3 linked regions of the Ovis aries genome follow. The protein of the gene in region 1 binds, or shares a complex with, the protein of each later gene. Links are inferred from orthologs where the notes say so. Each region holds a gene or a part of one and is shown in the gene's direction. Other genes may lie near its edges.

What was found.
Region 2: the proteins of RHO (region 1) and SAG are in contact, whole or in part, in a crystal structure (PDB 4PXF), measured with the Bos taurus proteins. The link is inferred for Ovis aries from reciprocal best matches to the Homo sapiens genes RHO and SAG. Residues at the interface, in NP_001014890.1 of Bos taurus: Arg135, Val138, Val139, Lys141, Leu226, Glu249, Val250, Met253, Met309, Asn310, Lys311, Gln312; in XP_010802144.1 of Bos taurus: Asp71, Ile72, Met75, Gly76, Leu77.
Region 3: the proteins of RHO (region 1) and GNAT3 are in contact, whole or in part, in a crystal structure (PDB 4A4M), measured with the Bos taurus proteins. The link is inferred for Ovis aries from reciprocal best matches to the Homo sapiens genes RHO and GNAT3. Residues at the interface, in NP_001014890.1 of Bos taurus: Leu72, Arg135, Val138, Val139, Lys141, Thr229, Val230, Ala233, Thr242, Thr243, Lys245, Ala246, Glu249, Val250, Asn310, Lys311, Gln312; in NP_001103452.1 of Bos taurus: Ile344, Asn347, Leu348, Lys349, Asp350, Cys351, Gly352, Leu353, Phe354.

What each region holds. Positions count from the first base shown.
Region 1 is NC_056072.1:56,171,318-56,179,182, reverse strand, and holds the end of RHO (rhodopsin), read left to right. Parts: intron 1-674; coding exon 675-843; intron 844-2,055; coding exon 2,056-2,221; intron 2,222-2,339; coding exon 2,340-2,579; intron 2,580-3,389; coding exon 3,390-3,500; 3' UTR 3,501-4,926; downstream 4,927-7,865. UniProt on the Homo sapiens protein: Photoreceptor required for image-forming vision at low light intensity. Required for photoreceptor cell viability after birth.
Region 2 is NC_056054.1:7,671,434-7,679,406, reverse strand, and holds the start of SAG (S-arrestin), read left to right. Parts: upstream 1-3,881; 5' UTR 3,882-4,099; exon of another isoform or gene 4,100-4,784; 5' UTR 4,785-4,810; coding exon 4,811-4,915; intron 4,916-7,973. UniProt on the Homo sapiens protein: Binds to photoactivated, phosphorylated RHO and terminates RHO signaling via G-proteins by competing with G-proteins for the same binding site on RHO. May play a role in preventing light-dependent degeneration of retinal photoreceptor cells.
Region 3 is NC_056057.1:42,062,337-42,070,327, forward strand, and holds the start of GNAT3 (guanine nucleotide-binding protein G(t) subunit alpha-3), read left to right. Parts: upstream 1-3,899; 5' UTR 3,900-4,097; coding exon 4,098-4,215; intron 4,216-7,991. UniProt on the Homo sapiens protein: Guanine nucleotide-binding protein (G protein) alpha subunit playing a prominent role in bitter and sweet taste transduction as well as in umami (monosodium glutamate, monopotassium glutamate, and inosine monophosphate) taste transduction.

The sequences.
Region 1 (7,865 bases):
AGGTGGGCACGCCTCTGCGACAACCGTGGGCCTGGAGTACCCACTAGCATTCCCTTTCACTCTCAGAAATGCCCCGGTTGGTAAACCCCACGGCCACCTCCCTCCTGAGTTTCTGGGGGTGATGTGCAGGGCAGATGTCTGAACCCCATCATTATCATTCCTCCTCCTCCCTCTGAGCAAAACACTCTCCGGGTCCCTGGCTCCCGAGAGAGGGTCACCCATGCCCAGGGTGTTCCATGTCCCTGGTGGTGAGAGGCCCGCTGCCCAGGAGGAAAGGGAGGCCTCCCCCTCTGGCTCCTGCTGCCTCTGCCATCCCCTGTGCCTGGAACTCTGCCGGTGGCCCCACAAAGGACACACTGTTCTGTGAAAACTGCCCGCCGGGCTCCCAGCTCTCAGCCATGACCCTGCGAGCTGATTGCCATGTTCCCCGCGAACCCGGAGCTCTGGCTGCACTAACCTTCCTGGGAGTTCCTCCATGTGGTGTATCGGCCCGTCTGCCCTGCCACCTCCCCTCGTCCGTGTCCAGACCCTCCGCTCCTTAAGTCTGCACTCCAGGACTGCTCCCCGGTGCCTTCCTTGTCGGCCCCCCTCCCCATCCCCGGGAGGAGCACACCTCCTCCTCAGACAGACAGGTCCAGCCACGCGGCGGTTGGCTGACAGTGGCCGCCTTGCAGGTGAAATCGCCCTGTGGTCCTTGGTGGTCCTGGCCATCGAGCGGTACGTGGTGGTGTGCAAGCCCATGAGCAACTTCCGCTTCGGAGAGAACCACGCCATCATGGGCGTCGCCTTCACCTGGGTCATGGCTCTGGCCTGCGCCGCGCCCCCCCTGGTCGGCTGGTCCAGGTAACGGCCCTGAGCAGGGGGGGAGGAGGGTCTCCGGGGTGCTTCCTAGGGTCCTCCAGCCGGAGGGGGGCCGGTGCTGCCTGGTTTCAGGCCCCCCGAGATGGCAGCTGTCATAGGGTTGAGGTTTAGGGCAGGGAAAAGAGGGTCAGCTCCTAACGTCACTACGGGGCTGCTCCCCGTGTCAAGGAGACTCCAAGACGCCCCAACCCTTCACCTTGGCTGTGCCCCTAATCCCCAACTAAGCCAGGCCAGATTCCAATCCTCTTTAGTCCAGTGCCCCGGGAGCAGCTCCTCTGACCTCAGGCCTCCGCCCCTGCAGAAGCAGAGCCTCCCTCATGCAGGTGTGGCGGTGTCGCCCTGGGAGCCAGTCCTGGCAAGACTCTCGGCTGATATCCCCCAACGGGCTGAGATGAGATGGCGGTGGGGTGGAACGTGGTTTGGGAAACTGGCCTCTGTGGGTTCCCAGAGGCTTCGTGCCCTTCTGCTTCCAGGAAACTGCCATCTCTCTCCCCTCTCCTTCTCTCTCAGTCTTCCTGGGGCCAGTGTTTTCCCTCCTGAGCAATTTAGCAAAGGGCAAAAAACCCTGCCCCTCCCTCCCTATCTTCTCCAGTCTGGCCTAGTTACATCCTCGTAGACGCAGCTAATGGACAGTGGGTTTCCTGGGGTCGGTTCAGTGTCACCGTCCTCTGAAATCACACGCCCTAACCACACGCCCCAGGGCCTCTTGTTTCCAGAAACTGTGCAAAAATCCCTTAATTACCCTGAGCGGCCTAAAAAGACCTGGGTGCCTGCAATACAGACATTGGGAGCTTTTCCCTTCTCCCCACCTACCTCATGGTCCGAGGCCTGGCCTCCAGCCACTTGGGAGTGGTAGGCCGGCTGAAGAAGCGCCAGGCAGGGAAGCAGGGGGGCAGAGTAGGGGCGCGGGGAGTGAGAGACTGGGAGAGACCAGGGTCCCAGGGTAACACAGCGCTGAACGAGGCAACAACACTGTTTCCACACACTTGGATCCCTTATCTCAGTAGATGTGAGCCTCACAGCCAAGGAAAGGTTTATTATCCCCATTTTACAGAGGGGGGAAGTGAGGCCCAGAGTGAGGGCAGCCCTGCTGCAGGCGTTGGCAGAGGACTCTGGCCAGCGGGGCCTGTTCCCCGGTCCCTCACACGCGGGTCTCCCCCTGCCCCTCCGGCCCCTGCCCCTCCCGGGCCTCAGGTACATCCCGGAGGGCATGCAGTGCTCGTGCGGGATTGACTACTACACGCTCAAGCCGGAGATCAACAATGAGTCGTTCGTCATCTACATGTTCGTGGTCCACTTCTCCATCCCCCTGATCGTCATATTCTTCTGCTACGGGCAGCTGGTGTTCACCGTCAAGGAGGTAGGGTCCTTGGGGGACCGGTGCTGTGGGGCTGGGGACAAGAGCGTTGATGAGGCTGAGCGCGGCCCCCGGCCCAGAGGAGCCTCGAGTCTGGACACCGGGCCCTGTGTCCCCGCAGGCGGCTGCCCAGCAGCAGGAGTCGGCCACCACTCAGAAGGCCGAGAAGGAGGTCACCCGCATGGTGATCATCATGGTCATCGCCTTCCTGATCTGCTGGCTGCCCTACGCCGGGGTGGCGTTCTACATCTTCACCCATCAGGGCTCCGACTTTGGCCCCATCTTCATGACCATCCCGGCTTTCTTTGCCAAGTCTTCCTCCGTCTACAACCCCGTCATCTACATCATGATGAACAAGCAGGTGCCTGCTGGTGGGGTGGGAAGGGGCCAGGTTCCCCCCGAGGCGACAGGTGGAGAAGCCGCAGTCTTAATCGGGCCTCAGTCTTTCCACCTGCAAAATGGGCGGGGTGGGTGGGTGGGTGTTGGTTTTCCCTGGGGTGATCATGAGTCATCCGGGAGAGATGCAGATTCCTGGACCCACCCCCAGACCTTCTGATTAGAAGCTCAGGGTGGGCCCAGGAATATGCATTTCTAACAAGCCCTCTGACACTGGCTTAGGAAAGAGAAGCGCCAGTCCAGATGGTTCTGAAAGTCCAGACGGTCAAAGTCCCGGGCCTGGGAACAGGTGCCAGTCTCCACAAAGCTGGACAGGATGCCAAAAAGTCTCGTTCTGAGGGATGAAGGGATAAAGCAGTCCTTTTAACATAGACCAGAGGTTCCTCTGCAGGTTCTTTGGTCCAGTGGGGAAAACCTGGAGTCAGACAGATCGGGTTCAAATCCCAGTTGTGCTAGGTTTTAGCTGTGTGGCCTTGGGCAAGTCACTTCCCTTTTCTGGATTTCAGTTTCTTCATCCATGGAAAGGATGAAATCCTAAACTCTTGGGTTCAATGGGATAACTTCCAGATGGCTCTTGGCACACTGAGGGCATCATGGCACGTCACCAGTGACAGAGTCCCTTCGGGTTTGGTCCCAGCCATCTGACCGGGGATCGGAGGCTGGGAGGGCCAGAGGCAGAAGAGGGAGATGGCACACCGCGCTGACAATGCCATTTCCCACCCAGACTCTGCGGGACCCTGAGCACCCCTACCCTAACCCTACCTCTTCCTTCCAGTTCCGGAACTGCATGCTTACCACCCTCTGCTGTGGCAAGAACCCGCTGGGTGATGACGAGGCCTCCACCACCGTCTCCAAGACAGAGACCAGCCAGGTGGCGCCTGCCTAAGCCCCTCCAGGGACTCCATGGCCAGCCGCAGGAGTCCCCCAGCCCCCACCCCACCCCAGCCTCAGCAGCTCCATCCGGAGCCGCGCCTGTTGGAACCAGCTCTCACAGGCTCCCTGAGTGTAAACACAAAAACCAACCAACCAAATGCAAACGAATCAATGAGCGAAACAGGAGGCGCCTCACTTGGCAGGGGCGGCCCGATCTGGAGTCCTGATTTCCCGGGGGCCCACTGTAGCTCCGCTCCCCTCAGCTCATCTCTCAGCTACACAAGAGCTCTTGCTCTGGAAAAGTGTCCCAGCTTAGGGATAAGTGAGTAGCACATGACGGGGCACGCCGTAGGTGCTTATTAATAAATGCTAGGTGGAGGAAGGAAGGAATGAATGGAGACGTGGATGGAGAGATGAACGGGTCGGGAGGGCATAGTCATTCTCTCATAACATGTTAGCAGCAGCAGCAGCTCGCCCTTGGCTGATGACCTTGAGCAGTTGTTTTGTCCTTGGGCCTCACTTTCTTCCCCCATACAATGGGAATTCCAAATCTCTCCTCACATGGCTGCTGGGAAGATCAAATGAGATTGTGTGTGTGTGTGTGTGTGTGTGTGTGCACGTGTGCTTGCGTGTGTGAGCTCTTTGTAAATAGTAAGGAGCTGGACAGACTGTAGTTAACATTATGAATAATATCAATTAATATAAGTAATTCATTCCTATGATCATCTCCTCTTGATAGCGACCATTTTGAGATTGGGCAAAGCCCTAAGCATCCAGCCTCATCAGGCTTATAAACATTAGACAGACAGCAAGGCCAGACCAGCGCTGGGTGGTGGGCCACAGGGAAGGACAGTCAAGGAAATGCAGAGTGCAGTCATCAGGCCTGAGAAGAAAACAAAAACACAAGAAAACAACATCAGAGGACCAGAGTCTGGGGCCAGTGCAGAGCCCCCATGACGCGGGCCATTCCCTTCCAGTGCAACCCACAGAGAGACAGGTCTTGCTCTCGGCATCTGAAAAACCACTAGCTCTCCTGCCCAGCACCCAGGCTTCAGCATCTCTGGGCCCGTATGGAGCTTCTAGAAGTTATGTTCACCTGCCCACATTTAACGAAGAGCTGGGTCCCCAACATCACCTTTGTCTCAAAAAGAGCTTAAAAAACAAAAGTGTGGGAAATCCAGCTGGACCCACCTTCCCCCAGGGAAGTTCACAGATCACAGATTTTAGCTCCCTTGCTGGGCAAGCCTTCAGCGGCTCCAGTCCGTTCTCCACTCCAGAGAGTCCTTGCTGCTGCGAGGCTGGCTGGGACTCTGGGACATCAGAATCCAGCCGCCTCATAAATGCCCCTCCTCAACTACATACCAAAGCGGGAAGCTCTACCTCTCCCCAGCTCTGCCTGGAGATGAAGGCAAATTGGGGTATTAAAAGCTCGGCTCCTATCCTTGGTGTTAGTGGTGGTGGTTTTTGTCAGTCTCAAGCTCTTTATCTACAGGATGGGTAGAAACGGGGCAGTGTTCATCTGATCCTTAACCCTGGGGTTTCTGGGTTTGAGCAACTATCAGAGCCCCCTGGGAGTGCAAGCCCAGGAATGGGAAAAGCTCCAACCTCAGAGTCACAGAGATCCAGGTGGCCTGTGAAACTGCAGGCAAATTTTGTCACCTCTTGGAAGCCTCCTTATCTGCAAAAGGGGATCTTAAAACTGACCTTTATGAGATTTCAGGCTTTATGCAGCCAACGTGCTTCCTGAGCTCAGCAGATGATGAGAGGCTTTTTTGCATTACTGGAGCCTCAGCTCCGGGCTGGCCCTACCAGGGACCTCATCTGAAGGGGGAATGGGATGAAGGGGTAGCTCCCGAATGACCATCCTCCTCCAAGGCGGGAAAAGGCAGCAGGAGTCTGAGAAGGGAGATCCTTCTTGTCATGGAGGGGCTGGGGCAGGTAATAGCTGGGATCTCTGCTGTTGCCCCTCTCTACTCCGTCTCCCTAGGTGGGTGATGTCAGTCAGGATTCCTTTATCTGCAGGAGGCAGGAAACCACACTCAATAGTACCGAAGCAAAAGGAAGACACGATTGGCTCCCATAAATGAAAATCAGGGCTTCAGGCATGCCTGGGTGCAGGTGCTCAGATGAGGTCACCTGGCTTTTGAGGGGGCTGTACTGGGTCTTCCTTGCTGTGCTTTGGCTTTCTCTATTTGTAGTGAGCGGGGGCCACCCTTCCCTCCGGCGCTCGGGCTCCTCATCGCGGTGTCTTTTCTTGTTGCTGAGATCGGGCTCCAGGGCACTTGAGCTTCAGTGAGTAGCTGTGGCTCATCCAATCAACTGCCCTGGAGCCTAGCCAGAGATGGAACCCACGGCTCCTGCACCCGCAGGGGAGACTCAACCCTTGGACCTCCAGGGAAGTCCATGTTATCTGGCTTCTAGGTCCCCCTTTGGCTGCACTTTCCTCTGTGTTGCCTTTCAGTTCAGTTCAGTCGCTCAGTCGTGTCCGACTCCTTGCCACCCCATGAACCGGAGCACGCCAGGCCTCCCTGTCCATCGCCAGCTCCTGGAGTTCACCCAAACTCATATCCATCGAGTCGGTGATGCCATCCAACCATCTCATCCTCTGTCCTCCCCTTCTCCTCCCGCCTTCGATCTTTCCCAGCATCAGGGTCTTTTCCAGTGAGTCAGCTCTTCACATCAGGTGGTCAAAGTATTGGAGTTTCAGCTTCAACATCAGTCCTTCCAATGAACACCAAGGACTGATTTCCTTTAGGATGGACTGGTTGGATCTCCTTGCAGTCCAAGCGACTCTCAAGAGTTTTCTCCAACACCACAGTTCAAAAGCATCAATTCTTCGGCACTCAGCTTTCTTTATAGTCCAACTCTCACATCCATACATGACTACTGGAAAAACCATAGCCTTGACTAGATGGACCTTTATTGACAAAGTAATGCCTTTATGCCAGGTTAACTGTTCCAAAGATGTAAGCATGGAAATCACCAGTAATTCCAAGCTCAGCAAACCCTGCAGAAATGGGGCTTCTCTTCTCCATCTGTCAGTCGTTTCCAGGTAGGGCTCTCATTGGCCAGGCCTGGGTCACCTGATAGCTCCTAAGCCAATCACCAGGCTGGGATGGGCATTCGTCCTCTGATTGGCCTGGCCCCCAGTCACCTGATTGCATTTGCCGCCCACGGTAGAGTTGAAAATGAAAGTCACCCTGGCGCATCCGAGTCTTGGCGATCCCATGGACTGACTATACAGTTCATTGACTTCTCCAGGCCAGAGTACTGGAGCGGGTAGCCTTTCCCTTCTCCAGGGGATCTTCCCAACCCAGGGATCGAACCCAGGTCTCCCGCACTGCAGGCGGATTCTTTACCAACTGAGCCACGAGGGAAGCCCGGTTGTATTAGCCCTATGTTAACCGAATGATCTGAGGGTGGGGATAGGAAGGAGCCGAAAGGAAACTTCAGAAAGTGGTTACCAGAAGGAGGAGGGCCGCAGGCAAGGAGCCGGGAACCAATAGCGGTCCAGGGGAGGTGCGCTTCGTGTCGGTGATACCCGGCTAGTTCGCCCTCCATCCACAGCAGTGACGAGAGGATTCCCACGGCTGACGGGTGTGGATCCCACCCTCTGTTTCAGATACTGTGTGGGACCAGGCACAGTAGTGGTAGGCACAGTGGCATTGCAGCTAGTCTGCCTTGTGGTCAGCCCTGTCCCCTCCCTCCCACAGCCCACTTATTGTGAGGATTCATCAGCGTCACATTCAGAGGAAAAAAAACTTCCTCTAAAACCAGGACATTCTCCGACTTTTTCCTGGTAGAGAGTAAACCCTACTTAACTTCCTCAATTTGCAGTTGATTTGACTGCCATTGGTGGGGAACCAGCCGCATATAAAGGCGGACAACTGCTGACTGAGTCTGGGGAGAGCGTGTTACCCACCTCATCTCCAGGCTCTGGGAAGCCAGTGTCCCTAGGCCAGGACGCACTGGTCTCAGAGTTGGACTGGAGGGAGCAAGTCTCTGGGCTGTGACCTGGCCAGGGACAAGGCCACAGAGCTCTCTCAGCCCCTGATTTTTGCCTCTGGAAGGAGAATGCAAAGAGTTTAGAACTGTAATCTGCAGAACTGTGAGTTCACACATAGAAGAACCCCCGACAGTGTCCCAAGATGGCAAAAAGGAAAAAAAAAGAAAAAAAAATTTGGCGAAACTTAAATTTCCTACAGGTCTCAGTAAAAACATCTCATGAGTACCAGAAGCAGCTCGTCCTCTCTCCAGCAGCCTGATCACAATTACCATTTCCCTGTGAAAAGGCAATCCTCTAGAAGAATTTTTAGATCATGCAGCACATTTTAGAACTTCTTCCGTCCAAATGCAAAACTCTATCCTGGCACAGACC
Region 2 (7,973 bases), on another chromosome or scaffold:
CAACAGGGATTGATCCTGGGCCCCTGGCAGTGAGAGCTCGGAGTCTTAACTACTGGACCAGCAGGAAATTCCCTTCTTTCTTTCTTTCTTTTTTGTTTTTTTAGGGAAAAGAGATTTCTTAAAAACAAAGCCTAGCATTCCCTTCACACAGACCACCAATGTCAGCTCCTTGGTTCCTATCCCAGAGACTGCATATAATGGGTATGGAAACACACGTGTCCATATCTATCCACACGTAGACTTGTGTGTTTGCAAAATGCCATCATACTACACACACCTGTGACCTTTGCTCAGTCACGGTCTCTACCTTCCTCGCCCAGTAATTTCCATGCTACCTGTCTGAGGTCAAATAACAAACATATTCCAGGGGCTCTTCCCAACCCAGGGATTCAGATTCTTTACCATCTGAGCCATTAGAGAAGCCCTAACGAACATATTACTGACACGTTATTAGATTATATTCAGATTTTCCCAGTGGGCCCAAAATGTCTCTACATCCTGTTTATTCAGTGGGGACCACACAGTACATCTGGATGTTGAGTCCCTTAACTGTCTTTTAATCCAATGCATCTCTTTTCTAGGACATTGACTTATAAAAGATACCAGCCACTTTCTACATTCATCTGGTAGCTTTCTTGTGGTCTCATCTAGCTATTCTTTGTATGTCCTACAAATGAGAAGTGATGTCTAAAGGCTTGATGGATTCCAGCTGTCTTAAGATCATACATCACAGTGGTTGACACTTTGGAGATGCTAAGATTGACTTCAGACCACGCCTGGTCCCCCTGTTATGTGGTTGCAAAAGGCTTGCACCTTGAAGTCTTGATCCATATGGCATCACTTTGGTGTCATAAGAACAGACATTTCCCCTTCAACTCTTCACATATTGGTTTTGACACCAGTAAAGAATCCTCATCTGAGTCAATAATGTCATCAGTGTTTTACAATGTTAAGTTTTACTGTTATTCAGCTCTGGTGAGATCAGTGGCTCAGAAGACATTGTTATTGAAAAGATAGGTTATTACTTACAGTTCCTCAAAGTGGGGCAGGCCGCCCATGGAAGCACCAGGGGCCAGTTGGGCGGTAGAAGGATCAAGGAGAAAACATGGGCAAGAGGTTTTTTGTGGTTTCCTTGAGAAAGAACTGGCGAGACAAGATAAGCGGACTTAAGGCGGGCTCTGGGGTGCAGGGGCTGTCTCTAGTTGTCTGACACCTGGCCCCAGGATGAGTCACGGGGGCAAGGCAGTAATGGTTCAGAGTGTGAGACCCCCCAGCAAAGCAGGAAAGGAGGCCTTTGGTGTGTTCACATCCTGGGTGGGCTGATACAGATGTGAAAAACAGTCACTCTGGGAAAAAACTAGCCTGGGATGGCAGTCTCTTCAGGGTCAGCAAAGCCTCAGATGTCAAAGCATCAAAATTATAGAAAATAAAAAGGCACAATTAATACAGTCAGAGTTTGTCAAGTGGTGTTTTTCTAATTCTATCACTCTCTTTACATTTCTTAGCTGACATTCCTCCATTAAAGTTTTTAAAAGTTGGGACTTCCCTGGTGGTCCAAGGGTTAAGACTCCCTGCTCCCAGGCAATCCTGGTTTGAGCCCTGGTTAAGGAACTAGATCTGTTTATAGATCTAGATATATTTTAAAAATTTTATTCTCATAGAAATGAAATTTTTTTCCAACTTCAGCTGTTGCCAGCCAGCATACTGTTGCAATCCAGTGACTCATTGATTTTCTCCAAGCTTATTGAGGCCCCTATTCTAGACACTGCAGATGGGAGAGGAACTAAATAGTCAAGAATCTCTTCAGTCCTGGAACCTACAATCTAACAGTGGTTGGAGGGGGGACAGACGATAAACAAATGAATCAGTTGTCCTCTATGTTAGATGGTGGCAGGTGCTACAGAGGAACGGAATGCTGAGGAGGAGGACAGAAGTGTTGGATGGGGTGGTACACCAGGATACAGATGGACAGGGTGACAGCGACGTCAAGACCTAAAGGAGTAAAAGGAACGAGCCGAGTGACTGTGGGAAAAGTGTTCCAGAAGAAGAAACAGTAGGTACAAAGGCCCTGAGGCAGGTTTGGAGAAAAGCAAAGAGGCCAGCTGACTGGAGCAAAGTGAGCAAGTCATGGAAAGGGGACCCAGATCATGCAGGGGTTAGGCGGGAAGCCACTGGGGTATCTCAGTAGATACTAACACCCCAAACATCAGAACTGGCTTTCTGCTTAGACTGGCTTCATTTCGAGACACCAGCTCAAGTCCAAAACACATGCATGTTAGTGACCACACTATCCCCTGCATTCATTCCCTGAATATTCTATTCCAGACACTGGAATATAAACAAGATAAACAAAACAGCGTGGGGTCCCTGACCTCGTGGAGCCTAGAGTCAAATATGAGATCAGTTCAGTTCAGTCGCTCAGTCGTGTCCGACTCTTTGCGACCCCATGAATCACAGCACGCCAGGCTTCCCTGTCCATCACCAACTCCCGGAGTACACTCAGACTCGCATCCATCGAGTCAGTGATGCCATGCAGCCATCTCATCCTCTGTCGTCCCCTCTTTTTCCTGCCCCTAATCCCTCCCAGCATCAGGGTCTTTTCCAATGAGTCAACTCTTCGCATGAGGTGGCCAAAGTACTGGAGCTTCAGCTTTAGCATCATTCCTTCCAAAGAACACCCAGGGCTGATCTCCTTTAGAATGGACTGGTTGGATCTCCTTGCAGTCCAAGGGTCTCTCAAGAGTCTTCTCCAACATCACAGTTCAAAAGCATCAATTCTTCAGCGCTCAGCCTTCTTCACAGTCCAATTCACATCCATACATGACCACTGGAAAAACCACAGCCTTGACTGAGATGAGAGACCATGAAATTATCTTGCAGACAAGCATCAGATGCAGAAGAGCCTCCAACCTAGTCTGGAGGTGGGGGACGTCTCCCCTGAGGAAGTGACTCTTGAGCCAGAGTCTGAAGGGTGGAAAGAATCAAGGAGTGTGGGAGAAGAGGGTGGTTCCAGACAGAAGCAATGATGGGTGTGCATTGCAGGGAGATGGGGAAGGGTGGGCAGAGGCTGGAGTGCGTGACTTTAAAGTTCTGTGCCTAGGACTCCCGTGGGGGTCCAGTGGCTAAGACTCCACCTCCCAATGCAGGGGCCCAGGTTTGATCCCTGGTCAGGGAACTAGATCCCATGTGCTGCAACTAAGGCTGAAGATCTCGCAACTAAGACCCAGTGCAGCCAAATAAATAATTTTTTCAAAAATAAGGTTCTGTGCCTGTAGCTGAGAGCAAGGTGAGATGCTAAGCTGGAGGGTGGCTACTCAGGGCTTGGAAGGATGTACTTAGACAGCAGGAGACACTCTAGTCTGGGAAAGCCAAGGGGCTGGTGTGGACCCTGCGGAGGCTGGAGGACTAGAAGGATTCAGAGGACGCCAGGGGCAAAACTGACAGGACTCATGACCTAATGGATAGGACACGGGGAAGAGGAGAAGGGCAGCACCCGTTTGGCTTGCGTAACACCAGGATTCATCTTGAGGTTGACATTTCTCCTTGACCTTTTTGTCTCTATCCCCACCCCCAAGGTTGCATTAGCTGCCTGCTGAGTTTAATCAAGTTGGTTGAGCTCTGGAAAATCCCTTCTCCTGGTGATAGCAGGAGGAAGGGATAATCAGTCTATTTCCAGAACCCAAAGTGGGTTAAGATAGAAAGTAGCTTTAGTCTACTAGCTGTCATCCCTCCCCCCCCCCCCCCCCCCCGCCTCCCTTCCCCGCTCAAGCCAGTTGGCTCCTGTGAGCCCACCGTGAGCCCCTCTGGAGGGAGACCGAGAGGCCCTTGCCTAATGCTGAGAACTGCTGAAGCTACCATTTCGTCCGCCTCAGCACTAATCCAGTTACCACTCTGCTCCTTCAATGGGATTTGGCTTCTAGGCACTGAGATGTGGGTGTGGGGCACACTCTCCCAGTTCCCTACAAATCCCCCTGAGCGGTCAGCCAGGGCCCGTGTGGAGTTGTCTGGGTAGACAGAACAGGGGTTGGCCGTCTGCTCACCCCGGAGGGCACACACACCTTCTCCCCACCTCCTGGGCCCTCCCGGCTGGTCGCACAAGGTACGTGACCATCCTCCAGCAAAGCCTTCTCAGAACCTCGGGGCAGGCCAGGAAAGAGCCAGGACCGGGGAGACTGGCATCTTCGTGCAGTCAGTCTGACCCAGTTACTTTCCATGGACATTACTTGTTAGGGAAACTCAGAAGGCATTTTGAATTTCAGACAGCCTCTTTGTTGTGGGTAGAGCTGGGGATAGTGAGAGAGAACTCTGCTTAGTGTGAATTGCTGAGCAGGACTTTTAGGGGATTTAACGGATTTTTCAAATGATATTCATGAAGTGGTTAGGTTGTGGTTTGCAGGAACTTTTTCTACCTTAATTGCCATGATATATCATCAAGATAGAATTTTAAAATCAATCTGGCTTACTGTGACGATAGCAAGGCTTAGTCTCAAAGTAAAACCTTCTCGTGGGAATCTGTCTGAAGTGAGGTTTACTAAGAAGTGAGGTTTGCTGGTGAGGCTTACTAAGAAGTGTTTGACGCTTATCAGGAAAAAATAAATACCTTAAAAAAAAAAAAAAAAGGCAGCTCACTGTAGTGAAATACAAACCAGACAAAGGCCTTTTCAAGTCAAACGTGGATATCGAGGTAGAAGGAAATGCCTAATGGATACACAGTATCTCATGAGTAGGTATAATTCCGAGAATGTTCTAGATGTTATATTTAGGATGGCTTTACCTTTCCACAGCCCTGTAACACCTGACGTACACCCTAATGTGGAAGAAACCGCCAGGGACCGTTAACACAGCAGCCAACATGCAGACCAATAAGCCCGCACCAAACCACGTTATCTACAAGAAGATCTCCCGTGATAAATCGGTGAGTGGGGCAGATGTGAGGGGCTTGAGTGATGAATTTTTTTAAGGAGCTTTTCGAATAGATGGGATCAATATCAAAACCCTGTGAGGTCAGTGGAAGCGATATGAGTGTCATCCATCCCTGTCTGCTGGGATGATAGATGAGATATAAAGGGATGACTTGCCGAAATAGTACTTCTCTTCAATCTCAACAAGACTTCAGCCCCAGGACCTTTCATTTTCTCCTGATCTCTCGGTGCCCAATCCCTCTCCTCCAATTTTACTTCTTTTTCTAGCCTTGAACCCCTGACTTACATTTCAGACGTTGCTTTGGTAACGCCTATAATTTACTTGGGCCTTTTTCCATCGTCTTGCCTACCTGCCTGGGGAGAGCGCTGATGCTGGGTCATGCAATTCTCTACCATCTGGCACCCACCCCAGGCGCCAAGCTCAGGGCTCCCAGGACCGCTGGATGAGGGCGCATCTCCCGAGGCTCCACAGTGCTCACTGTGGCTGCGCGGCCGATACCCTGGCACCCTGCATACCCGGCAGAGGTGATGCCACTATTGGCTCCATCAGGGGGACAGTAGGTGGGCTAGACGTGCCTGTGAACTTCCTGGCCTGGGAGATGCAATCAAGGGCCCGCCCCACAGCCTCTGTGGATGGGGAGACCCAGTCAAGGGCCCGCCCCACAGCCTCTGTGGATGGTGTCTCCTTGCACGGCTTGATGGCTTCTCAGGGGCTGACAGTCTAGTTCTGTGCCACCCATTGCAAGCTGCACTTCTAATTTTAAAATTTTCTATTAGCCATGTTAAAATGGTAAGAAGAAACAGGGAATTCATTTTAATGCTACATTTTATTTAACCCAATATAACAACAAAACTATCATCTCAACATGTAAATGGTATAAGAAGCATTGCTAACACTTGTTTGTTGTTTGTTCAGTCACCAAGCCAGGTCTGACTCTTTGCAGCCCCATGGACTGCAGCATGCCAGGCTTCCCTGTCCTCCACTACCTCCCAGAGTTTGCTCAGTCCCATGTCCATTGAGTCAGTGATGCCATCCAACCATCTCATCCTCTGTCACCCCCTTTTCCTTTTGCATTCAATCTTTCCCAGCATCAGGGTCTTTCCCAATGAGTCGGCTCTTGGCATCAGGTGGCTGAAGTACTGGAGCTTCAGCTTCAGCATCAGTCCTTCCAATGAAGATTGATGACATGTGCTAAATTTGTTTTCTGTTGTTGAGACCTGGTGTGCATTCTTCATTCACAGCACATGGCGGTTTGGTGTGGCCATATTTCAAGTGTTGGTGGCCACCAGTAGATAAATAGTGGAGGATGTGGACCTAGGTCATTCTTCTGGTTGACTCCTGAAGCCTACACTGGGCCTGAAAGAAACTCTCTGAAGCTTCTCATGCCTCACGGGCTCTGCACAGACCCTCTCCTCTTCCCCTCTCCTCCCTGAAGATCTCCATACTTCCATCCAGTCCTCTGATTCTTCAGGGTGACAAGTCAGGTACCCCGCAGTCTTTCACCCTCCCAGCTCTCTTCCAACTTGTGTCTCTCCAGTGAACTTTATCTTGACTTCCGGCAAAAGAAGAGAGAAACCGCTCCTGCTGGGCATTACCACTTTCTCACTTTTTCCTTACTCCCACCTAGCTAGACCTCCATTGACCTGGAAAACTTAGAATTCTTGTATTTAGGAGGAAAGTATAATTCATCCACGACTCTGTCCGTATTAGGGTCATTCCCACTGCAAGTCTTTGTCTGGCCTCGGGCGTGTTGTGCCAGGGCCCTGGGCCAGTTTCTCTCCAAATCTCGCCACTCCTCTGTCTTCTGCCACCTTCACCCTCCGGCTGGTGGCAAGACGGCTGCCCCAGCTTCAGGGGACTCACCTTCACTTCCTTCCAGAAGGAAAAAGCTGTTGATTCCTGAGGTCTCTTAAGGGTGAGGAGGTATTTCTCCAGCAGACTCGTCTTTACCTCATTGGTCAAAACTGATTACATGCCCACCTTCAGCCCATCCTGAGCCAAAAGAATAGGAGCAGGCCATTCAAGAGTCATCCTTCATGATGAATGGTAACTAAATTTATTGCGGCTATTCAGTTCAGTTCAGTTCAGTCACTCAATCGTGTCCGACTCTTTGCGACCCCATGGACTGCAGCACACCAGGGCTCCCTGTCCATCACCAACTCCCGGAGCTTGCTCAGACCCATGTCCATTGAGTCGGTGATGCCATCCAACCATCTCATCCTCTGTCGTCCCCTTCTCCTCTTGCCTTCAATCTTTCCCAGCATCAGGGTCTTTTCAAATGAGTCAGCTCTTCGCATCAGGTGGCCAAAGTATTGGAGTTTCAGTTTCGGCTTATAGCTTTGTGGCTATAGCTTTGTGATTTACACATACATCATTATATTGTACACCTTAAACTTAAACAATATGTCAATTATATCTCAGTAAAACTAGGGGGAAAAAAGAACGATCCTCTGGGGTGGCCTTCTTAACACAACCGCTTGGGGATGGTGGGCCCTGGATGCGATGATTGGTGACTGTTATCCAGGAAGATGGTGCGTGTGGCTGTCAGATGGGTAGGCAGCAGACGGGCTGGAGCCTTGCCTCATCCACCCCACTTTCCCCACCTGCTCCTGTCTCTTCCCATCGCTTGCAGTTGCAGCAAGCGAACTGAACTGAACTGAACGCGCTGTTGTTTCCATTGAGGTTCATGCTACTTACAGCCTGGGTCGTGGCCCACCACCTCCTCTGAGTCCTGTCCCAAAGCCTCCTCCCTCTGGGGATATCTCTCTTTCTCTACCAGTACCAGCTTAAGCATAACAACAAGGACCGACTTCATGCATCTTAAACACAAGAAAAAGAACAGCAAATGTCCCTTGACCCTGTCTCCTCTCTAGCTCTCCTTCTTTCACAGCCAAAGCTTGAAAAAGAGGAAGACATTCTCTGTCCCCCTATCTTCTCCCTTCCTGCTCATTCCTCAGTTCGCCCTCCTCCCGACCACTTTCAGCTGCCTACCTGGCTTTCCTCTCGCCAACCCCTTCTCCACTTTGCTGCCAATGCAACCAGAGCCTCAG
Region 3 (7,991 bases), on another chromosome or scaffold:
TCCAGTGTGCTGCAAGCTAAGCTGCTTCAGTCGTATCCGACTCTTTATGACCCCATGCACTGTAGCCCACCAGGCTCCTTTGTCCATGGGATTCTCCAGGCAAGAATACTGGAGTGGACTGCCATTTCCCCTTCCAGGGGATCGTCCCGACCCAGGGACTGAACACCCATCTTTTATGTCCCCTGCATTGGCAGGAAAGTTCTTTACCTCTAGCACCACCTGTCAAGACCCCACTGTATAAGACTCAGTAATACTGGCAAAAGAGACCTCTCCAGAAATGTAGGTTGGACTCTCAATATTAAAAGCAAATGGGAAACAATCTCAGGATATCTCAAGCTAGGTGTTAAAACATAAATGTAAAACAGCAATTATTCAAATGTTTTAAAGACTAATATGCCAGTCTGAAGATTCAACAGAGAACCTGACCAAAAACAGCAAGAAGAAAAATCACCACATCACTCAAACTTGTGGTTTGTCAGTGACTTTTATTTATTTTATTTTTTTTAATTTTTTTATTTTTTTTTTAGTTTTTTATTTTCTTAATTTTAAAATCTTTAATTCTTACATGTGTTCCCAAACATGAACCCCCCTCCCACCTCCCTCCCCATAACATCTCTGTGGGTCATCCCCATGCACCAGCCCCAAGCATGCTGTATCCTGCGTCAGACATAGACTGGCGATTCAATTCTTACATGATAGTATACATGTTAGAATGCCATTCTCCCAAATCATCCCACCCTCTCCCTCTCCCTCTGAGTCCAGAAGTCCGTTATACACAGCTGTGTCAGTGACTTTTAAAGCTGAGGACTCATTCTCTGTATTTTACCTCCTCAGTTTTCTTTATTGCACAGCCTGTTCCCACAGAAGATATTCCTGATCAGGTTGATACTGTGATTTTTTTAAAAAGGCAACAATGTTCTTAGAAGCTATTTTGCAATGATTATTTGAAAAGACCATGATTCTCCAATACAATGTCTCTTTCTTTCTCTGTGTGTGTGGGTTGTGCACACAATGTACGTATATCTCTCTGTGTGTGTATGTATATGTACAGCAATCTACCTTTTTTAGTTGGTCACTATATAAAACTCTAATATGATAGGATACTTTGGCCACCTGATGCGAAGAGCTGACTCATTTGAAAAGACCCTGATGCTGGCATGCTGTGGTTCATGGGGTTGCAAAGAGTCAGACACGACTGAGCGACTGAACTGAACTGAACTGGACAGCTTTATGTTTCTTATTTTAAAGAAGGAACAAAATGTATAGCCACATAGCTCCTTAAACAAAAACATCTAATTTAGTTACCTTTTCCTGTTGTCATTTTTATCAATTTTCCCTCACTACAGAGCAAGGTTTAATAATAGAAAGGGAGTATGCTGGTGTTATTTTTAAGGCTGATAAAAAAAAAAAAAGATGTACTTATTGGGCTAACAGTTGTAATCATAGATATGAACACTATTTCAGACTAAAATTGGGCTTCACAGGTGGCACTAGTGGTAAAGGACCCACCTGCCAATGCAGGTAGACATAAGAGACGTGGGTTCGATCCTGGGGTTGGGATGATCCCCTGGAGGAGGACATGGTGACCCATTCCAATGTTCTTGCCTGGAGAATCCCACAGACAGAGGAGCCTGACAGGCTGGGGTCCATAGGGGTTGCACAGAGTCGGACATGGCTGACGCGACATAGTGCACATACACAGACTAAAATTGGTCTTTTTGTTGATTTTTTGAGTCACTTTAAAATTTCAAGGGTGTTGAGACAGACCCATCATGACCCTGAACCTTGGAAATATTCAACTGTGTTATCACCTCAACAGAGCACACACACAAAAGGTCCCAGGTCTCTATCAATGTACTAACAAAAAATAATTTTTGAATATTTCCAATAGTTAGCACTATGCCAAATACAATGGAGGATACCTAAGCTAATAACATACTGTATTCATTCTAACAGAATTTACTATTTTATTTCCATAATTTTCTTAGGTCCAGAAAAGCATAGTGAGTGATAAGTAAAGCAACATGGATTAATAGCTATATTAACAACCACAGCTCATTAGTGAAGCTGAGTTCCAGGCACCCAAGGGAGAGGAATGAGAAGCCTTTCTCTTCTCTCTGGCTCTCCCCAGCTTCCCTCCCCTAAATATAGATACACCTTGAATTTAATGTCAAGATTATTTTAGCAGCTAATGAAAAAAAAATCACATAACAATCTCATAAATTTGAAGATAAAACATTCTGAGTCACACAGCAAAGTAGAATTTTGTAACTGTATACAGTACAGAAAATATACAATTATACTCCTGGAAGAGTTGGTCGGTTTTCATCAGAAGCCCACGTAGAAGTCTTAGTAAATTGCATACCCTTACAAAGCCACAGTATGTCCCCAGCAAAAAAATAGGGAGTATATCTACTTGAATGCAGGTATAGAAAGTACCTTATCTATTCATAATTGCTATGGAATACACAAGAGTCTTCTATATTCAAGGTACTTTATAGTCAATTTTGACGTAAAAACAAAAAGGAAAAGATTTTAATGTTTGTGTTCTTTTGCATTGCTGTTAGTGTGGATGGACTCGGTGTCCATGAGCAAGTATAAATAAACCAGTCAGTGCAAATCTTGTTCCTTTGGGGCAAGCCTTTTGCATTTTAAAAGCAACATCACATGCTTTGCATACCTACCTTTCCACATCTTTATACTATCATAACATGGCTTGGGCAGATGAAATCCAGAAAGTTTTGACTATGCTTATGTATTGACAGTCTAATATTTTATGTGAAAAGTAAACAAAGCAGGACTATGTATTAAATTTGGCAGCCTATTTCCTTGTTCTATGAATATGCAAAAATACACCTGTTCAGAGTTTGTCCACGATCCCACAAGAACAGCACTAACATGCTGATCGACTGCCTGTATTCTAATATTTCTCTGTTAGGCATGTCCACAAATCCCAAAATGTGCACTGAGAGATTTGCCTGCTGCCACAGGTAGCCAACTCTGCTTAAGAGGAAAACATCACTTGACTATCTAAGTGCTTTATGCTTCATATAAACAAACAAGCAAAAAAATTGTATAACAGAATCTGTCTCCAGACTTGCAGATTGTCGAGAAGGACATGATGTCTGTTGGGGTAGTCGAAAGGCATGGAACGTATTTAGGTATATTTACTGTTCTTACCTTTCAGGAAAAACCAAATCACCTACTGTTACAAAGAATATTGCTTTTTATTCCCTCAGTACCAAATCAATAAAAGTCCTTCCAGCACAACAGCTGTTCCTTAATGGCCCCAGTTAATGCACTGCCTGAATCAAACACATTCCAGTGTCTATACCAAGCAGACCCTCAATTAATGGTGATGGATTGACTTTCTCACAAGCAGTAGAAGCTCAATTTATAGAAATTGATCCTATGAGACAAAAATAAATAATTTAAGAGCACTGTGTGTTAAATTCTATGTTTGGCAACACAGCAATGTGTATAGATCTAAGAACTATGTGTTTTTTTTTAATGAAAAGGTTTTCTAGTTAGCTGACAGATACTGAATGTCTCAATCATTTTGAGTTATAATCCAAGCATAGCAAAACTATAAATCTGGGTGATTCATATGAATATTCTGATAGTGATATCATAATGATTATGAAGAATCTGAAGACTCGTATACCTAAAGATAAGACACGTTTGTTCGTTAGTAATTATAACTTTAAATCTTGCAATAAAGATTGCCTATTAGTGATAAACACTATTTGAATTGTCCATTTCAGATCTTTAGTGTACAGATTTTCATAACTTTCTACATTATTGTATACTATTCTTTAAGGAAGATGAGTAGGTTTGAAGGAGGGCCAGAAGTAACCACTTAATTTGAAAGTATAATGAATTTTCTCTTTCGCTGCCATAGAACTGTGTGGTTTTACCCTTTGTCAGGTGATAGCATCTCCTTAGTCAAAGCAGAGTCTTAGAAAATGAGGGAATGGGCTGTTGGGTACTTCAGCAGAGCATTGCTCTTACATCCTATGTCTAAACCAGAGCACTAGCTGCGCTCTACATTCCAAAAAGTTTGAGCAAATAAACTGACAAGCATCTACCACTACAAGATGGGAATTGGAATTAGTTCAGAGAGCAAGGAGTCAGCCAAAAGATCAAAAGAATTGGAGAAAAAGCTTCAGGAAGATGCTGAGCGAGATGCAAGAACTGTAAAGTTGCTGTTGTTAGGTAATATCCTTTTTTCCTTTTGCCTTTAAAACCCTGCTATTTTTCCAACAGTGATGTATTTACTTTTCTCAAACTTTAATTTCAAGGGTATTACCATATGGGAGATTTATTACGAAAATGTGTTTCGAAATTGATTTTATGTGTACTCTGTAAATATTTACTTTTTTGCTTAGGATTTTATTGCATGTCTTTTATTAAGCAGAGAGACAACTATTTATTAGATGACTCAATTTCTCTATGTCAGTAATCTTTTATTATTAAAAAAACTCATGGACATTTATTATTTTATTATATTCTAGTTATTTTCTGAATATCAACTTTTTAATATGGAAGAAATCATTTAATTACATCTTACAAAGACTTATGTCATTTTGTTTGGAAATATTTTGTTTGGTATCAGCACTAATATGTTATTTAATTACTTATACTGTTAAAACCAATTAGTCAAGTTATTTAGAGAGTAATGATAAAGTACTTTAAAGATACTAATAATATTATTCAGGTTTCTGAATACTATCTGTATAATTGAAAAATACTCCATTTAAATCCTTTTAGGATATTTAAATATTTATTTAGGTCAGGAATTATGTCTCTTCTATTTTTTATTCCCTCAAAATTCAGTACACTATTTAACCACAGCTATGAATTTAATAAATGTTCAATGAACTGAAAGAATGAATATAATTTATATATCATGCATTTTCTAAACATGTCACAGTGCCTAGAAAATAAATGATTTTGAGATAAAATAAAGACCTATGAAAGAATATAAAACAAGAACTTCAATTTAATCATAGTTATATGTTCCTCCTGCTCTTCATTATACACAAAAGCACTCCATTTTATTTCAGAATTGTGAATCTTTCACACAACAAAATATTCTTATTTGTATCTATGTGTTCTTTTACCATGTCTGATTTGCTCCCAGTGGCAAGAGTATCTCAGAAACCAACTATAAGATTCCCACTATTTGCTCTTCCAAGGAAAGGAAATGTTTTCTCTCTTTATGCCCAATTCCTGGGGCTTCACACCCACAGCACTTACAAGTAACTACCAAGAGAGGCTGGTAAGTTAGAAAGATGTAGGGGTCAGCTCTTATGAAACCACCAAATGCAACTTCCCTAACGCTCTGGAGTATCTGAGACTTTGTCAAGAGTGAAAGTAATAAGTGGACATAGAGAAAACAAATAAAAGATGAGAGGGAACACCAAACATTCCGGCAAGTATGTTCTATGTCCCTGTTGTACTGAGAACCATGGCACAGGACTAGTAACACAATACACAGAGAACCCCTATGTTTGAATAAAATTTCAAAAGAAGAGATATTTTCAATATACGAATTATTTTTAAATTAAAGTGATGGGCTACATAAAGAGGAAAGGGTAACATTATAGAAGAAGATATATAAAGTACTTTAGTGATATTATTACATCTTTTAATATCCTAAGACAATCACAATTGCATAAATTCATCTCCAGTGTTACCCATACATCTGGATTCATTTGGTTCCAACAATATGTCACTGAACTTCTCTATCACATCTTATTTACACAGATGAATCAAATTCTCTGTAGCTTTCCCTATTCAGTGATAGTTCAAACCCTTGACTAAGTTTTCCCTTCTGGACTCTAAAGTTCTATGTGGTAATTAAGTCACTAAGTCATGTCCGACTCTTGTGACCCCATGGACTGTAGCCCACCAAGTTCCCCTGTCCATCGGATTTTCTAGGCAATAATACTGGAGTGGAATCTTGCTGAAACAGGGATTGAACCCGGGTCTCCTGTACTGCAGGCAGATTCTTTACCAGCTGAGCCACCAAGAAAGTCATATGGGTTCTATATCTAATGATTAAGTTGTCAAAGTTCAAAACAATAAAATCTTGTAATAACTCTGCTTCAATTCTCATGTTTTGAACTGAAAGCAAATTATCTAACCTATTATCTTTATATTCAATTTGGCCTCATTAATATATAAAAGCATTCAGTAGAACCAAAGTAAACCTTCCCACCCTCAAATCCCCTCACTAATGAAATCTAATTTCTCCCATCATTGAAACAATGACAATACTGGCGCTCTACTCCTTAATTCTAAAACCATTTATTCCTGATTTTTCTATGTGCTATCTTGTAAACATCACAGTATCATTTTTAATGTATATGTATATATACATTAATTTTACATAATTATCAAGTAATACAATGTACATATACATATGTATATCCTTTTATGTATATCAAGAGGAAAGAGGACATAAGACTCCTACTATATCAAAGTTCTTACTTGTATTCTGTTTAAATAAGTCTTTTTATTTTAAAAAGCACTTCTATATATGCGTGGGAAAGGACGCAGAAACCTGGAGGTGTTCCTCAGTCACCGGCTGGAGTATAAATTCATCAAGCATAGAAGCTCTATTTTATGTTTCTATTACACCAGAAGAGTCAATGCTTGTCTGTGGATGTGATCACTTTTACAGGTCCCCTGGAATAATTATGTTACAATTAAAACTTGCAAAGCATAATTAGAAAAAAAAACTTATTTCAGATAATCAGTGGTACGAATCTTGTGAACGCCATGCAGAAGCGATTCCTGAGTACTGTTTCCAAATTTTTTTAATTAAAATCATTCTTTGTTATATTATTTTGTTTAAAAATATTTTACAATATTTTATTTTTATAAAGATATCAATCATTGGGGTGTACAAATATTTTTACTATTTATACAAATGTTTAAAATTGTTTTTCAGTAAAGTGGAAAGAAACAGTCTACTTGGAGAGTCAAATTGTCTCCAAAGCAACTATTTGCACCATAGCAATCTGAAACCTTCAGAGGAAAAGTCAAATATTTACAGTTATATTTTTTATAACTAATGGCATCTGGCAGCATCAAATAGCTCTCTACAGTGTCCCTTTTCTCTAATGGGCAAAAAGCACTTAGACAAACATTTTGCATTTATTTGTTTGTTTTAGATTAATATATCTAATAATCAAGACACATTAACAGACTCATAAGTCCCTCACATGAAAGATGTAAACCATTCATTAAGGCATTCCATATTTAGCCAACTTATGGTATTTGTTAATGAGATTAAATACCCTGTCTTGCTGAGAATAACTCTCATTAACTGTAATGTAACAGAACATCTCATGTTATATCACAGAGCGTTTTTACATTCATTTGCTATATTCAAACCTTAATTATTGATTTAGGAGCAATACTGTACTTTTAAAAATATTCAGATAAGCAACATGAGTTAACACAATTTATTTATCCTTCCATTAATTAAAAAGGAAAGAGGGTAGTGAAACATTTGATGGTATAAAGTCTCTGTGATAAATTTTACATAAAATATACTTCCAGTTAAGATTTATACTCAAATTCAGAATCCATCTCCTTATTTAACTTTCCTACAAATGTATCAGTGTAGAATTCGCCTCTAAGGAAGTGGGATTCAAGCTGAAACTGAAGGTAAAACTCATCAAGATATAAAAATATTGATTTTGTGTATTAGACTCTGCTCCTAATAAACTAAAGTCAGTTCAGTCGCTTAGTCATGTCTGACTGTTTGCGACCCCATGGACTACTGCACACCAGGCTTCCCTGACCATTACTGAATTGTGGAGCTTATTCAAACTCATGTCCACCAAGTCAGAGATGCCATCCAACCACCTCATCCTCTGTTGTCCCCTTCTCCTCCTGCATTCAATCTTTCCCAGCATCAGGGTCTTTTCCAGTAAGTCATTTCTTCACATCAGGTGGCCAAAGTATTGGAGTTTCAG